4 linked regions of the Saccharomyces cerevisiae S288C genome follow. The protein of the gene in region 2 purifies or fractionates together with the protein of the main gene of each other region. This does not show direct contact. Each region holds a gene or a part of one and is shown on either strand. Other genes may lie near its edges. The genes, in order: NUG1, NOP15, RPF1 and SPB4.

Region 1 (3,971 bases), on a different chromosome or scaffold from region 2:
CGTTTGCACCGCATGATTCAGGAGAAATAGCTAGACATAGAGATGACATCGCCACCATCTTCTTGAGGAGTGTTAACGGAGATTTGCAGAAATGGGACGTTTTTGTTAGTACGTGGTTAGGGTTTGGTGCCAATCAGGCTAGAAGAAGGTACTTGGCTCAGTTGATCAATACCCTTCCAGAAAACACAAATGATTACGAAAATGATGACTTCTCTACAAGGAACTTGAATGATCCATGTATGCCGCGAGGAAGCAGCACGGATTTTGAATTTAAAGATACCATATTTCACATCGCGGGTTCTGGGAATTACGAACAATGTACAAAATCTATTTATCCGTTACTTTTAAAGAACATGCCTTGTGATGACGAGCCGTGCTTGTTTAATGGTGTTCATGCTCCTCGAATAGACTTTGCCAATGACAAATTTATAGGTACTTCTGAGTACTGGTACACTGCCAACGACGTATTCAAACTTGGGGGCGAATACAACTTTGACAAATTTAGCAAAAGCCTAAGGGAGTTTTGCAATTCCAATTGGACGCAAATATTAGCGAACAGTGATAAAGGCGTGTATAATTCTATTCCGGAGAATTTTTTGAAAGATGCATGCTTTAAGGGCAATTGGGTCCTTAATATACTTCATGAAGGGTTTGATATGCCTCGAATAGATGTCGACGCAGAAAATGTCAATGACAGGCCCTTATTTCAAAGTGTGGAAAAAGTCGAAGAACGAGAGTTATCGTGGACACTAGGCAGAATTTTACTTTATGCCTCAGGTAGCATATTGGCAGGTAATGATGACTTCATGGTGGGTATTGCGCCCAGTGAAAGAAGAACTAAGCTCACTGGTAAGAAATTCATACCTGGCAAGTTACTGGAGTCTGATCAACTACGCAAGCAAAGTTCCAGCCTTTCTAATAAAGGATTTTTGATGTGGTTCGCAATTATTTGTTGCATATTTTACTTGATCTTTCATAGGTCACACATAATCAGAAGACGTTTTTCCGGTCTGTACAACATTACCAAGGACTTTAAGACAGGCATAAGGAGAAGGTTGAAATTTCTAAGGAGATCAGATCCATTTTCCAGATTGGAGGAAGGTGAACTTGGAACAGACGTAGATGGCTTCAAAGATGTGTACAGGATGAAGAGTAGCAGTATGTTTGATCTTGGTAAGAGTTCAGCCACAATGCAAAGGGAGCACGAACCACAAAGGACAGCAAGTCAGTCCGCTAATCTCGCTCCGTCAAACTTACGACCTGCGTTTTCTATGGCTGATTTTTCCAAATTTAAGGACAGTAGGCTATATGATTGAATGTGGTGGTGTATGTGCCATAAATAGAAGCGCATATACTTCTCACATAAATATATGTATATATCTAGTGAGGTGCCATAGTATTGCATTAACAGTGATTCACGTCACTCTAAACGTCGCTTCTGTTTTTTTTTTGAAATTTTTTTCTCACAGCTGCTGAAAATTTTCGAGCGAGGCGATGAGATGAGCTAATTATATCAAGAGGGAATTGTACTAGTAATACTTTGGTACACACAAGAACAAGCATATAGGTATACAGTCACGACTATAATATCATAAAATGAGAGTCAGAAAGCGCCAATCTAGAAGAACATCTACCAAGTTGAAGGAAGGTATTAAGAAGAAGGCTTCTGCCCATAGAAAAAAGGAAAAGAAGATGGCTAAGAAGGACGTTACTTGGAGATCAAGGTCTAAGAAAGACCCTGGTATTCCTTCTAACTTTCCTTATAAGGCTAAGATCTTAGAAGAAATAGAAGCCAAAAAAATGAAGGACTTAGAGGAAAGAGAGCTTGCCAAACAACAACGATTGGAGGCTAGGAAAGCTGCCAAGGAACAAGGCGTTGATGCAATGGATGAAGACATGATAGAAGACGATGAAAATGGATTAGCAGCTTTGGTTGAGTCTGCTCAGCAAGCAGCTGCTGAATATGAGGGCACACCCTCTAATGATGCAGATGTTCGTGATGATGAATTGGACGTCATTGATTATAACATTGATTTCTACGGTGAAGATGTAGAAGGCGAGTCAGAACTTGAAAAATCTAGGAAAGCTTATGACAAGATTTTCAAATCCGTTATTGATGCTTCTGATGTCATCCTATATGTTTTGGATGCCAGAGATCCAGAGAGTACAAGATCAAGAAAGGTGGAAGAAGCCGTCTTACAAAGTCAGGGTAAAAGGCTGATTTTAATACTGAACAAAGTTGATTTAATTCCCCCACATGTATTGGAACAATGGTTAAATTACTTAAAGTCTAGTTTTCCTACAATCCCATTAAGAGCTTCTTCTGGTGCAGTCAACGGAACTTCTTTCAACAGAAAGCTAAGCCAAACCACTACTGCAAGTGCACTGCTAGAGTCGCTGAAAACTTACTCTAATAACAGCAATTTGAAGAGATCTATTGTAGTGGGTGTTATCGGTTATCCAAATGTTGGTAAATCATCTGTTATCAACGCTCTTTTGGCGCGCCGTGGAGGTCAATCAAAGGCTTGCCCAGTCGGTAATGAAGCAGGTGTTACTACCTCTCTGAGAGAGATCAAAATCGACAACAAGTTGAAGATTCTAGATTCTCCTGGTATATGTTTCCCAAGCGAAAATAAGAAAAGATCGAAAGTTGAACATGAAGCTGAATTAGCTCTTCTAAATGCTCTACCGGCAAAACACATTGTTGATCCGTATCCAGCTGTCTTAATGTTGGTAAAGAGACTAGCTAAATCAGATGAAATGACAGAGAGCTTTAAAAAGCTGTATGAAATTCCTCCTATTCCTGCTAATGATGCAGATACGTTTACAAAACATTTCTTAATTCACGTCGCTCGTAAAAGAGGTAGATTAGGGAAAGGCGGTATTCCAAATCTTGCCAGTGCTGGTCTTTCGGTACTTAATGACTGGAGGGATGGTAAAATTCTTGGTTGGGTTTTACCAAATACATCGGCAGCTGCATCTCAACAAGATAAACAAAATCTAAGTACTATAAACACTGGCACTAAACAAGCTCCAATTGCAGCAAATGAATCCACCATTGTATCCGAGTGGTCCAAAGAATTTGATTTGGATGGATTATTTAGCTCTCTTGACAAGGCCATAGATGCTAGCAAAGATCAAGATACAATGATGGAATAAATAAGTCATATGTAAGGCTATTTTTATGTAAGGGGTGTTTCTTATTTTTTCTTTATCATCAAATAACATTACTGTAAATTATAGGTGTGCTTTTAAACTCATTACTATACATCTTATTTTTTTTAGTTTTACTGCCTTTTTGCTCTTTGGACAAAGAAATCATTAAAAAGTTCCAACTTTTATTATGTTTCATATATAAGATATACAAAATATAAAATGCAAAACGAATTTCAGAGATAGCATGACTTATGAAATTGGGGACAGACTCAAGATTGGTGGATATTTTTGCACCATCAAATTCATAGGTGTTATTAAGCCGTGGCCTTCGGTAAAAGCTTATGGGGTGGAATGGGACGATCACAGCCGGGGAAAACATTCTGGAACAATAGATGACATACACTATTTTGACGTTCAAATTCCTAATTCAGGATCATTTTTGAAGGAGTCTAAGATTAAATCTCCAGGTGTACGCAGAATTACGTTTTACGAAGCATTGTCAGAAAAGTATGGAGGCTCGAGTAATAACATTAATGACCTATCTATAGGTAACAAAAGGGTTGAGGGTTTGGGATTCGATGAACTAAATGCGAGAAATAAGAATTATAAGAAGTTAAGAAAAATAGCTTTGCGAGATTCCGATGTCGCTATATTGTTTCAAAATCAAGATGAGTTAAACCGTGTAATACAAAATTGTGTGAACGTCAAGGACCTTGATTTATCGCTTAATCTATTCACGAATATCAACTCTTTATGTGAGTTCATAGAACCTTTGAAGAACTTGGAGAGCCTTAATATATCTCAAAATAAACTTT
Region 2 (3,065 bases):
TAGAAGACATCTAAACTCTGGAAAAATAATCAATGGTGCCGAAGCGTCATCACGTCATCCGAATAGCGGATATTTCGAAATTTATAAAAAAGCTTTGAAAACAATCCTAGAAGTAAAGCAGTTTCGTTCAATATGTAAGACGTTCAATTAGTTGTACAAGAGGTTAAAATAGTGCTATAAATTATGGCTATCGAAAATATATACATTGCCAGACATGGTTACAGGTCAAACTGGCTACCAAAGGGACCATATCCACCACCGCCCACCGGTATTGATAACGATGTCCCGCTTTCGGAACACGGTGTTGAACAGGCACATGAACTGGCGAACTATATCTCTAAATTAGATGTCAAACCAGAAATGATTTTCTCCTCCCCATTTTACCGCTGTTTAGAAACTAGTAAACCCACAGTGGAGGCTTTAAAGATTCCATTATATGTCGATCGTGGTGTAGGAGAATGGTATAAGCCTGATAGACCCATTATCCCGGAGCCTGCTACTCATGAAGTTATGAGTAAGTTTTTTCCAAGCATGATCTCTCCAGACTGGGAACCTAGTATTATTCCTAGTAATAAGGGTGAAACAGAAGAAGATATTTTTGAGAGGTGCCATAAATTCTGGCCTGTCTTTATTGACAGAGTGGAGAGAAAATTTCCAAATGTAAAGACCATTATGATAGTTACCCACGCAGCCACTAAATCCGCTCTTGGTATGAACTTGTTGAAATTCTCCAGTGCCAAAGAGCCCATTGATAACAAAGGCACCTTTATAAGAAATGGAAGTTGTGCTATTGATAAATTTGAGCTGGTGAAAGGAGAAAATGAAAGTATACCATTTGAAGAGAGAGAGTGGAAACTTACAATGAATGGCAACACCTCCTTTTTAACTAATGGGGAAGAAATGAATTGGACGTTTATGAATGCCTTTGAGGCTGGTTCAGACGCTGATATCAAAGCGAGAAGAGCAGCTGAGAGCGGAAAACTAAAAATGGAGTGAAAACTAAAGTGAGTCTTGAATTCTGTACTTCTCATTATACACTTCTGCATTTGATTTTTATTTCATGATGAAGCTGTGTGAATATATATATATATATACATATGTCAAAGTCTAGTGTAAATTGATAGAATTAACAGTATCTTTTAATATCCCTAAACTTCAAAATTCAAGGTTCAACGATTGAAAGATGAGCTGTCTAGGTAGTAGTACCGAAACCTTTCGAGTTTTGTGCTATCTCTGAAAACTCATTATCCTGCTAAACCCTTTCTAATGTGCATAGCAGCTATTGCAACTTTAGCATCCTCATTACAGACGGCATAGCAGAGACGTATGCGGTTACCCCCCAGATTTTGCCTGTTTCTTTTCACTATGAAAAATTTTCCGCCATAAGAAAAAATGAAGTAGTGCATCGCATCTCATCTCATCACTTAATTTGAAGACGATTACCATTACTTTTAACTTCATTAACTACCTTTTCTATAGGGTTAAGTTCTAGAGATAAAATAACAGAGGAAAGAGATCGATATGGTAAAGTCAACAAGCAAAACTTCCACCAAGGAAACAGTAACCAAACAACCCACCGAAGAAAAACCTATACAGGAGAAAGAAGAGTTGGCTCTAGAAACATCGTCTAGCAGTTCAGATGAAGAAGACGAAAAAGATGAAGATGAAATTGAAGGTTTAGCCGCTTCTGATGATGAGCAGAGCGGTACACACAAGATTAAAAGATTGAATCCTAAGAAGCAGGCTAATGAAAAAAAGTCGAAAGATAAAAAGACACTTGAAGAGTATTCTGGGATTATTTATGTGAGTAGACTGCCACATGGGTTCCACGAAAAGGAATTAAGTAAATATTTTGCTCAATTCGGTGATTTAAAAGAAGTGAGATTAGCACGTAATAAGAAAACTGGAAATTCCAGACATTATGGCTTCTTAGAATTCGTTAATAAAGAGGATGCAATGATCGCCCAAGAATCTATGAACAATTACTTGTTGATGGGTCATCTACTACAAGTGCGTGTATTACCAAAAGGAGCTAAAATCGAGAAATTGTACAAATACAAGAAGAGAGTTCTAGTAGAGAAAGGTATCACCAAACCAGTAAAACAGCTAAAGGATAACATGAAGCAAAAACATGAAGAAAGGATAAAAAAATTAGCCAAGTCAGGTATCGAATTCAAATGGTGACTTGTCACTTCTCATCCACCCTGAGAAAAGGGTTTTGTAAGATAGAATAGGAGATATAGCAAACTTGGGAAACCATTTATATCATTAATTCCAGCAATATAGTTCCGTTTGTCCGTATTCAATGATATTTACATGATTGCTTTTACGAAGATTCAACGACCAAAATCACGGAGCGGGTAATAGCCTGGAGTTTCCGGATGAAAAATTTAACGGCCCAGAAAAAGAACAATAGCTGCAAAAAAGAAAGCTATACGAGATCGAGATAGTGAGAGAGGTTAGCATAACGAGAAAATTTTTGTCGCATTCGTGGCCAAAAAGCGATATTTGAGAAGCATTGTTATTATATCAATAAATAACAAATATATATATTGTCCTTTTTCCAATAACTATATAAAGAACAAGAAGCTTTTGAAACTTTCTCAAAAATTTTCGTTCAGGCTTCCTCGTTAATATTTAAATTCGATTTTCATTTTCTTCATAGTAAAGAAAATCAATCAACTACAACATAAAATATCAAACAATCATGCCTAAAGTTTACAGTTACCAAGAAGTTGCCGAACACAATGGCCCAGAAAATTTCTGGATTATCATCGATGACAAAGTTTACGATGTTTCTCAATTCAAAGATGAACATCCAGGTGGTGATGAAATTATAATGGATTTGGGTGGACAAGATGCTACAGAAAGCTTTGTCGATATCGGTCATTCTGACGAAGCATTGAGACTACTGAAAGGTTTATACATTGGTGACGTTGACAAGACCAGTGAGCGCGTTTCTGTGGAAAAGGTATCTACCTCTGAAAACCAAAGTAAAGGTAGTGGTACATTGGTTGTCATATTGGCCATTTTAATGCTAGGTGTTGCTTATTATTTGTTGAACG
Region 3 (3,406 bases), on a different chromosome or scaffold from region 2:
TTACCTAAGCCTAAGGTGGTAGGCCCACCAAAACCAAAAAACAAGAAGAAGAGAAGTGGTGCCCCAGGTGGCCGTGGTGGTGCTTCAATGGGTCGCGGTGGTAGCAGAGGAGGTTTCAGAGGAGGCCGTGGTGGTAGTTCTTTCAGAGGAGGCCGTGGTGGCAGTTCTTTCAGAGGTGGATCTCGTGGCGGATCATTTAGAGGAGGATCTCGTGGCGGATCTCGTGGTGGTTTCAGAGGAGGTAGAAGATAATCTAGCTAGAAAAAAATAAAAAAAAAAACCATCCTTTATCTTTCACAATTCTTCATTTCTTCCAACTTACTATATCTGCCGAAGCACGTCTAACGTCGAAAAAAAAAAAAAGAAATTACCGTTTGTTCTGTATACTATATATATATATATTTGTTTGATTGATTTACCTGTAATAAATTGATTTAAAATGAAAAAAAGAGAAATTCAGTAATACCAGAAGCCGCCGTAGTTAAACAAACGACCACGGTTCTTACGGTTGTCTTAATATTATATCCATACAAAGTTTACGAATGGAACACTATAAATAAAACTTTTTCTTTTCTTTGTCCATCTCAGGTTTATGCTCCCATTCAGTTTCTTCCTTAATACCCCTTTGCAATCTTTTCAACTTGAGGGTAAATTGTGGACCCAGTTCTTGCAAACCAACCCTTTCATTATCTTTGAAGACATACCGATGCCTTCTGAAGAAAATGTAATCTCTTTGATTATGTAGGGTGATAACTTGTCGACCTTCAATATCAGGATTCTGAGGTAAAATGGACTGAAACAACCTACCTACTGTTTGACCCAATCTGGTCTGGAAATTATTTAGAATCAATTCTGGAATATGGCTAGTTGGTCTACCATGACCGACAATTTTCTTCACTTCAACAAATGATGATAATTTAAAATAAAAAGTTGGGCCCTCTGGCAGATGTATGAATGTTAGGCCAGTAACCTTTTTCTTGTCCTCGTTGATTATCACGATGTCAGTGAAATTCCTTTTTATACAAATATCAGATATTTCCTTCAATTTGTAGCCAAATTTTCTTTTCACAAATGTGACGTTTGGTAAAATTTCGATTAAAATGTTAGCAAATTCATAAGCGCTCTTCTTAGCGTTTACATTTGTGGTCAGAAAGATCTTTGGTGGCTCATTAGAATTGCTGTTGAAGTATCTCATCAAATCGTCTTCATCTCCCTCCACTTCCTTGTTAATGGTCTCATCGTACACTCTAGTGTTCTCTATCGTCTGTGTTACGTTCTCTTTTAATCTCTGCTCCCGCAGCTCCGGATTCTCTCTCTCTTCCTTAGCTCTCTTTCTTCTCATGGTATGGCGCTCTTTATTTTTTTCATGTTTTATATCAGCAAAAATTTCTTGCCTCTTTAGCTTGTTTGTGATGTTTATCTCATTACCGAGAGCCATTTTTTAGTATTTCAATATATTAAGCCTGCTTTACCTCTTCCTTAGGTGTTCAATCGTAAAGTATAGCTTATGGCATCGCATTTCTTTTTACATCTCATCGCTAAAAATTTTACTTTTCCTTTGTATAAATAATCATGTGTGACGAACGCGAAAATGAAAAATGCACTGAATTAAATGTATACAACGTTATATAGATCGTAAATATGTATATTGAAATATACACCTTTTTGTTCTTTCTACTACTGTAAAAGAAGAATGCATGCGTTATGACAGGGCAGCACGCCAATTTAACTTATTGCATATTTCAATGCAGGCTGTCCAGACAGAAGGAAAAGCTACTCAATTGTAGGCTTTGGTTCCGGCGTTACCCCCTTTGGTTTTGAGACTAGAGGTGGTAGAGTTTGGCTTACCATTTCTCAATATCAAATCGATAACTTCTTCGATCTTCTTGCCCTTACCGAACTCATTTTCCACTTGGGCCTTGGAGGCAGCGCCCAACTCACCCTCGGCACCCCTACCGTCCTGAGGAGTGAAAACTTCGAAGAGTTCGACAACTTCAGATAGCTTACCAATTGATGGATTTTTCAAATATTCGTCTACAAGCTCTTCGGATGCAGCGAAGACAATCAAATCTGTATTTTCACCCTTGTAAAAGTATTTGGTTACAGTAGACATGTTGATTTTATTTTGTGTATGCGATGGTTTTCTTATTTTTATCAGCTTGTTCAAAGTATGAATTTGTTGATAGCTGCTTTTTTATTAGTCAAGAATTGAGTTTAAAGAACATTGGCTTGTGATCATCATCGAAATTGATTCTCATCACTTAAATATCTTTTGCTCCCTGTTTCTGGCGATCCCTTCGACTAAATAAGGGGTCGTTGTTGTTACGTACGGCCCAACAGGGTAGTGCCTGCTCTAGCGTCGAAGTTAGAGGAAAAGAAGCTTAGAGAATAAAAACATTTACTAGTAGTAAGGGGTCTTATTGTCAGAAAGGGACAATTGCGTGGGCAGTATTTTCAAAGAGTGGCTTTCTTCTTCTGAACGGAGTTTCAACCTGCGCTTTCTTTTCCTCCTGCTAGGATTTATTTGTGAGAAAACGAAACTAGCTATAGAAACGCGTAGCACCGGCAGGCCGAAAACCGCTACTACGTAAAGGGGAATGAAAATGGGCCAAATTTGGTGTAAAGATATAGGAGAAGAGACACGGAGTAGGAATTCGCCGTGCCCCTATACAGAGACAACATGAATAGAGAGACAAACGCATTACGTAGTCTTGGAAGATAGCGCAACGGGAAATCTTGACACAGTAAGAAACATTTACAGTATAATAATACTAAAAATAAAATTAAGATACATCAATATAAAATTTTCGACAAATACAGAAAAGAACAGAGAAGAAAAAATGAAGGTGACGCAAAAAAGGAATTGACAGGCCGTAATGAGTAGTGATGGAAAGAAGGTAAATGGAAGTAATAAAGGAAAATCATAAACATGCTTAAAAGCGTACAATCTTGAATTGAATTAAGAATAACAATAACCTTGAAAGAAATGAAAATCAAAAGGAAAAACGCAACTATAACGATACAAAAAAGACTTAATAAAAGGACATGGAATCTTGAAAACGATAAAAAGCAATGAAAAAAAGAAAATAAAGCGCTGTTATATCACCGTCAGCCTAAGACCAAATACAATTTAACACTGAAGTAAAGAAAATACCAAGAAAGAAAAAGGGCCAAAAGGAAAACAAACATTTTTATATACACGTGTGGCTCAAGCAAACATAAAACCATTACTGCCTTGTTCCAAACGGTTTAACATTGCATTAGTGCTGTTAACAACCGCTTCGCTTCCTTGCATGATAACTTGTTGGCCACCCGTGCCTGAGAGGTCCATAGAGCTAGTGTCAGCCAGTAAACTAGTAGCTTGCGTATTTGTAGCATTATTATTACTGTAGAAACTGAAATTGTT
Region 4 (4,688 bases), on a different chromosome or scaffold from region 2:
TTGAATGCTTGCATCGTGCATGAATACATACCGCATATATGTTTAAGTATGAATATACCTGTTAAAGAAAGTAATGAATCTGTATTGAAGAACCGTAGGTTTGACATGATCTGGTCGTTATATATACGCGTAATATGACTAGTCAAACTAAATGTATGACAAGTTCCAGAACTACTATTACATTGATCATAAGTAATAATACACAAATCAGCGTGTGTTTTATACTTCTCTTATATAGTATAAGAAGATCCATATTTAATCTTCATTAACACTACTTCTTAACCTCTAATTACCAACGGGTCAATGTTAGGATAATTGTTGGCATTCCATTGTTATTAAAGGGAATCAAAGTATATTAAAAATTCTTCCCAAGGATGTAATAACCTAAAAAAGGAAGCCCATATTTCTATATAATGTTATTAATATTTTCTTTTTCATATTATTGTCGCCACTCTTTATTCCATTACATTATCAAGTCTTGCATTTCGGCTTCCATTAAATTTGATGATTATTTCTCAGTCTTTGTGCCATCTACTCACACTCAATTTTAATATAGTGTTAATATGAATACTAATCAATGAGCGATCATTGGTTCCATTACAATAACGTTGTGATCGGAACTTATTTTGAAGTTATTCCTGTCGACTGCCTGATGTCAGTATTGAGGCTGTTTGATTATTTCTGAACATAATATCCTTTTCCTGTTACAAGTACATGCTGAACAAGAGATATATATTATGCTTTAAGATGGAGTATAATGGTTTTAGAATATTTTAAATTAAGTATGCATACACAAATAATCTACTTACTCACTATGATGCTACAAGATCATCCATTGGTTAAGAATGTTGAGTGATTCTACGAACAAGGTAACTTTTTTTCCATAATTATAAGTCGTCAAAATTGCCTTGGATAGCTTTGCTGGAAACTTTCTTCCGTTTATTCTGTAAAACGATTTCTTTCCAATCCTCTTTAATACGCTCTTCTTCAGCATTTTCATCGAGCTCTTCTGCTTTCAATTCTTCCTCTATAGCCTTCCTTTTTAAACTCATCTTTTCCTTTCTCTCGAGTTTCCGTTCTTTCGTCAATGTTTTATCTGACCACGCTAAATTCTTCTTCTTCAACTCACTTTTCAGCTTCTTTTTATCATTAATCAGGCTTATATTTTTTAATGTTTCTTGTCTCTCCTTTTCACGTTTTTTGTCCTTGTATTTATATTCATCCATATTAACTGGGGGATCGACCAACCAATTCCCTGGGAAAATCCCTTCTTGTTTTTCGGTGGCTAAGTACTTTGTTATCTCAGGCATTCTAGGCAGGCGGAAAAGACCATACAATTTCGCAATACCAACATAATCTAAAGATTGAAGCCTAAAAATTGAAGTTGCGGAATGATTTGAGTAGTATTTAATAAAGGCAACATATGCTTTAACACCTTTATCAAATCTATCCCTATCTTCTAGTATCCAATTTCTAAAGTCCTCGTAAAAGTTTGTTGTTATGCCCTTTACTTCCAAATCAAGTTCTTCAAGTTCCACATTTTTAACTTGCATGAAAGGAATAAAATCCTCTTCTCTGCCTTCATTAAGAAACGTAATTGCTTTACCCACTCTATTTGCTCTACCAGTTCTACCACATCTATGCATGAACATATCAGTATTGGTAGGGGGATCAAGCTGGATGACGAGATCAACGTCGGGTATGTCAATACCTCTAGCAGCCACATCTGTTGTGAATAAAACAGAATTACTTAGCGAATCAGTAAAAGCTGTTAGAGTTTTTGTCCTTGCCGATGTTTGAAGTTTTCCATGCAAGGAAAATATTTCTACTTCATTCACGAGAATATTCCTCTTTCCCAAATACTGGATAAATGAGTAGAAGTAGGAGACTGACACACATGTTGGAAAATATACAATACATTTCTTGAATTTGTAGTTATTCAAAATGCTAACCAAAAGTTGTAGTTTTTCGGCAGGATTTACGACACAGTAATTTAATTTCAAAGAGGAGGGCGCCTGGTTCTTAGAGTTAACGGTAATCCTGACAGGATTTCTAAGCCCTGTCTTAAAGATATCTGATCCGGCGCTACGCATAGTTGCAGAAAATAGACCCGTCCTTCTTTGTTTAGGCAATAGCCTCAGAATTTTTTCGGTATCCTTAATAAAACTCATATCCAACAATCTGTCTGCTTCATCCATAACTACCATACTGCATGCTGACGTCTTTACTGCTGGCATTTGTAAAAAGTCCAAAACTCTACCAGGTGTTCCAATCAGAATCTGCGGTCTATTCCGCAGAAAATTACTTACATCATCTCTAACTGTGGCTTCATTAGTACCAACCAGGAGCTGACATTTAATAGGGAACAAGTCGGAAGGATAATGTTCCAGAAATGATAGAACGACAGACTCAATTTGGCGTGACAATTCTCTTGTTGGAGCAATAATTAACGAGTGGAAGTGTGCTTTCTTGAATTTTGATGTATTCGCTTCTTCCTTTACAACTTTTTCTAGTACAGGTATAACAAACGCAGCGGTCTTACCTGAGCCTGTTACAGAATCAACTACTACATCCTTGTTGCCAGCAAGCATGGGAATTGTCGATGCTTGGACTGGAGTCATGGTCTCAAAACCCATAACATCGAGTCCTGTCCTTATCCAGGGAAGTAAAGAAAACCCGAGATTATCCCATTCCAATGACTTTGACATTGTTTTTATTGCTGCTGAGCTTTTAATATTATCTTACTACACCTCAAATCAATGGGCTCAGCTCATCTTGAAAAGCTCACTTTGTTTTTCAGTGAAAAATTTTTGAAAGCGAAAAGCCGGCTCAAAATAAAGAATAATATAGTATTCTCGAGGTGCCCACATGCAATCTTTACTGCCCTACTATAACCTCCCTTGAATGAGTAATTTCATTAGAAGGCTAGTTGGGAAAATGAAAGCGATTTCAACAGGTACCAATGCTATTGTTAGTAAGAAGGACTCCATTTACGCAAACTGGTCCAAAGAGCAGCTAATACGAAGGATCACTGAACTAGAAAACGCAAATAAGCCACATTCTGAAAAATTCCAGCACATCGAGGATAACAAAAAGCGCAAAATTTCGCAAGAAGAGGTTACGAGAAGCAAGGCGAAAAAGGCTCCGAAGAAGTTTGACTTTTCTAAACATAATACCAGGTTCATCGCCTTGAGATTTGCCTATTTGGGATGGAATTACAATGGCTTAGCTGTTCAGAAGGAATACACACCGTTGCCTACAGTAGAGGGTACCATTTTGGAGGCCATGAATAAGTGTAAACTTGTTCCCTCGATGGTTTTACAAGACTATAAATTTAGCAGATGTGGCAGAACAGACAAGGGAGTTAGCGCCATGAACCAAGTTATATCGTTAGAAGTCCGTTCCAATTTAACAGATGAGGAACAGCGGGATCCGACCAACGACAGCAGGGAAATACCCTATGTTCACGTTTTAAATCAATTACTACCCGACGATATTCGTATATCAGCTGTCTGCCTCAGACCGCCACCTAACTTTGACGCAAGATTCAGCTGTGTTCACCGGCACTATAAGTACATCTTTAATGGAAAAAACCTTAATATTGAAAAAATGTCTAAAGCCGCATCATATTTTGTTGGAGAGAGAGACTTCAGGAATTTTTGTAAGCTTGATGGCTCAAAACAAATTACCAATTTTAAACGAACAATAATAAGCTCAAAAATTCTTCCCCTTTCTGAAACTTTCTATTGTTTTGATCTCGTTGGTTCAGCATTCCTATGGCACCAAGTTCGTTGCATGATGGCCATTCTTTTCTTAGTTGGTCAATCACTTGAAGTGCCGGAAATTGTCTTGCGTCTGACTGATATTGAGAAAACCCCTCAAAGGCCTGTTTACGAAATGGCAAATGATATACCATTATTGTTATATGATTGTAAATTTCCTGAAATGGATTGGCAAGAACCTACTGTAGATGACTATAAGGCAATAAAATTCACGACAGCTACTGAAGCATTGACGTTACACTACGAACTTAAGGCCGCAGTATGCAATATTTTTAAAGATGTTTTGCCCACAGCAAATACAAACAACTTCTCAAAGACAATTATTAATTTGGGCGATGGAAGAGGTAAAGTAGTCGGTACCTATGTGAAACTAGAGGATAGAAGCGTTATGGAACCTGTCGAAGTTGTTAATGCTAAATACTCCAAGAAAAAGAACAACAAAAATAAGTAAAATAATATATAAACCTGTATAATATAACCTTGAAGACTATATTTCTTTTCATCACGTGCTATAAAAATAATTATAATTTAAATTTTTTAATATAAATATATAAATTAAAAATAGAAAGTAAAAAAAGAAATTAAAGAAAAAATAGTTTTTGTTTTCCGAAGATGTAAAATAGGTTGAAAGTTAGAAATTAGTATTATAATAGCAAAAAAAATTTAAAGTTAGAAATTAGAATTTAAGGCTCTACACACGTTTACGATGATATTGGACGACCGACACGAAAAGACAGTTTTAGGCTTTCTTTTGTCTTGCTCTTGCGTTGAAAGTACGTAATTTCCATTCGATTACTTACTCAACACTTGATATAGAGACCAACTATAAAATAAACTGTTTGGGAAGGAAAGCAGAACTCTTGTAATTACCTCATCTCATTATCAAGAAGCAAAATTTTAACTATG

What was found.
Region 1: the proteins of NOP15 (region 2) and NUG1 purify together in Saccharomyces cerevisiae (affinity purification with mass spectrometry; 7 studies listed by BioGRID). This does not show direct contact.
Region 3: the proteins of NOP15 (region 2) and RPF1 purify together in Saccharomyces cerevisiae (affinity purification with mass spectrometry; 5 studies listed by BioGRID, with this or other methods). This does not show direct contact.
Region 4: the proteins of NOP15 (region 2) and SPB4 purify together in Saccharomyces cerevisiae (affinity purification with mass spectrometry; 7 studies listed by BioGRID). This does not show direct contact.

The regions. Positions count from the first base shown.
Region 1 is NC_001137.3:161,127-165,097, forward strand, and holds NUG1 (RNA-binding GTPase NUG1), read left to right. Parts: upstream 1-1,596; coding exon 1,597-3,159; downstream 3,160-3,971. Other genes in the region: YND1 (apyrase), read left to right, coding at 1-1,316; PAC2 (Pac2p), read left to right, coding at 3,401-3,971. UniProt on the Saccharomyces cerevisiae protein: GTPase required for 60S ribosomal subunit export to the cytoplasm.
Region 2 is NC_001146.8:416,945-420,009, reverse strand, and holds NOP15 (rRNA-binding ribosome biosynthesis protein NOP15), read left to right. Parts: upstream 1-1,521; coding exon 1,522-2,184; downstream 2,185-3,065. Other genes in the region: YNL108C (uncharacterized protein), read left to right, coding at 184-996; CYB5 (Cyb5p), read left to right, coding at 2,708-3,065. UniProt on the Saccharomyces cerevisiae protein: Involved in the biogenesis of the 60S ribosomal subunit. Required for pre-rRNA processing and cytokinesis. Associates with the precursors of the 25S and 5.8S rRNAs.
Region 3 is NC_001140.6:279,527-282,932, reverse strand, and holds RPF1 (rRNA-binding ribosome biosynthesis protein RPF1), read right to left. Parts: upstream 1,439-3,406; coding exon 551-1,438; downstream 1-550. Other genes in the region: H/ACA snoRNP pseudouridylase subunit GAR1, read left to right, coding at 1-252; RTC3 (Rtc3p), read right to left, coding at 1,778-2,113; YHR086W-A (uncharacterized protein), read right to left, coding at 2,541-2,702; NAM8 (Nam8p), read right to left, coding at 3,209-3,406. UniProt on the Saccharomyces cerevisiae protein: Essential protein. Required for biogenesis of the 60S ribosomal subunit.
Region 4 is NC_001138.5:144,227-148,914, forward strand, and holds SPB4 (ATP-dependent RNA helicase SPB4), read right to left. Parts: upstream 2,709-4,688; coding exon 888-2,708; downstream 1-887. Other genes in the region: pseudouridine synthase DEG1, read left to right, coding at 2,905-4,233. UniProt on the Saccharomyces cerevisiae protein: ATP-binding RNA helicase involved in the biogenesis of 60S ribosomal subunits. Binds 90S pre-ribosomal particles and dissociates from pre-60S ribosomal particles after processing of 27SB pre-rRNA.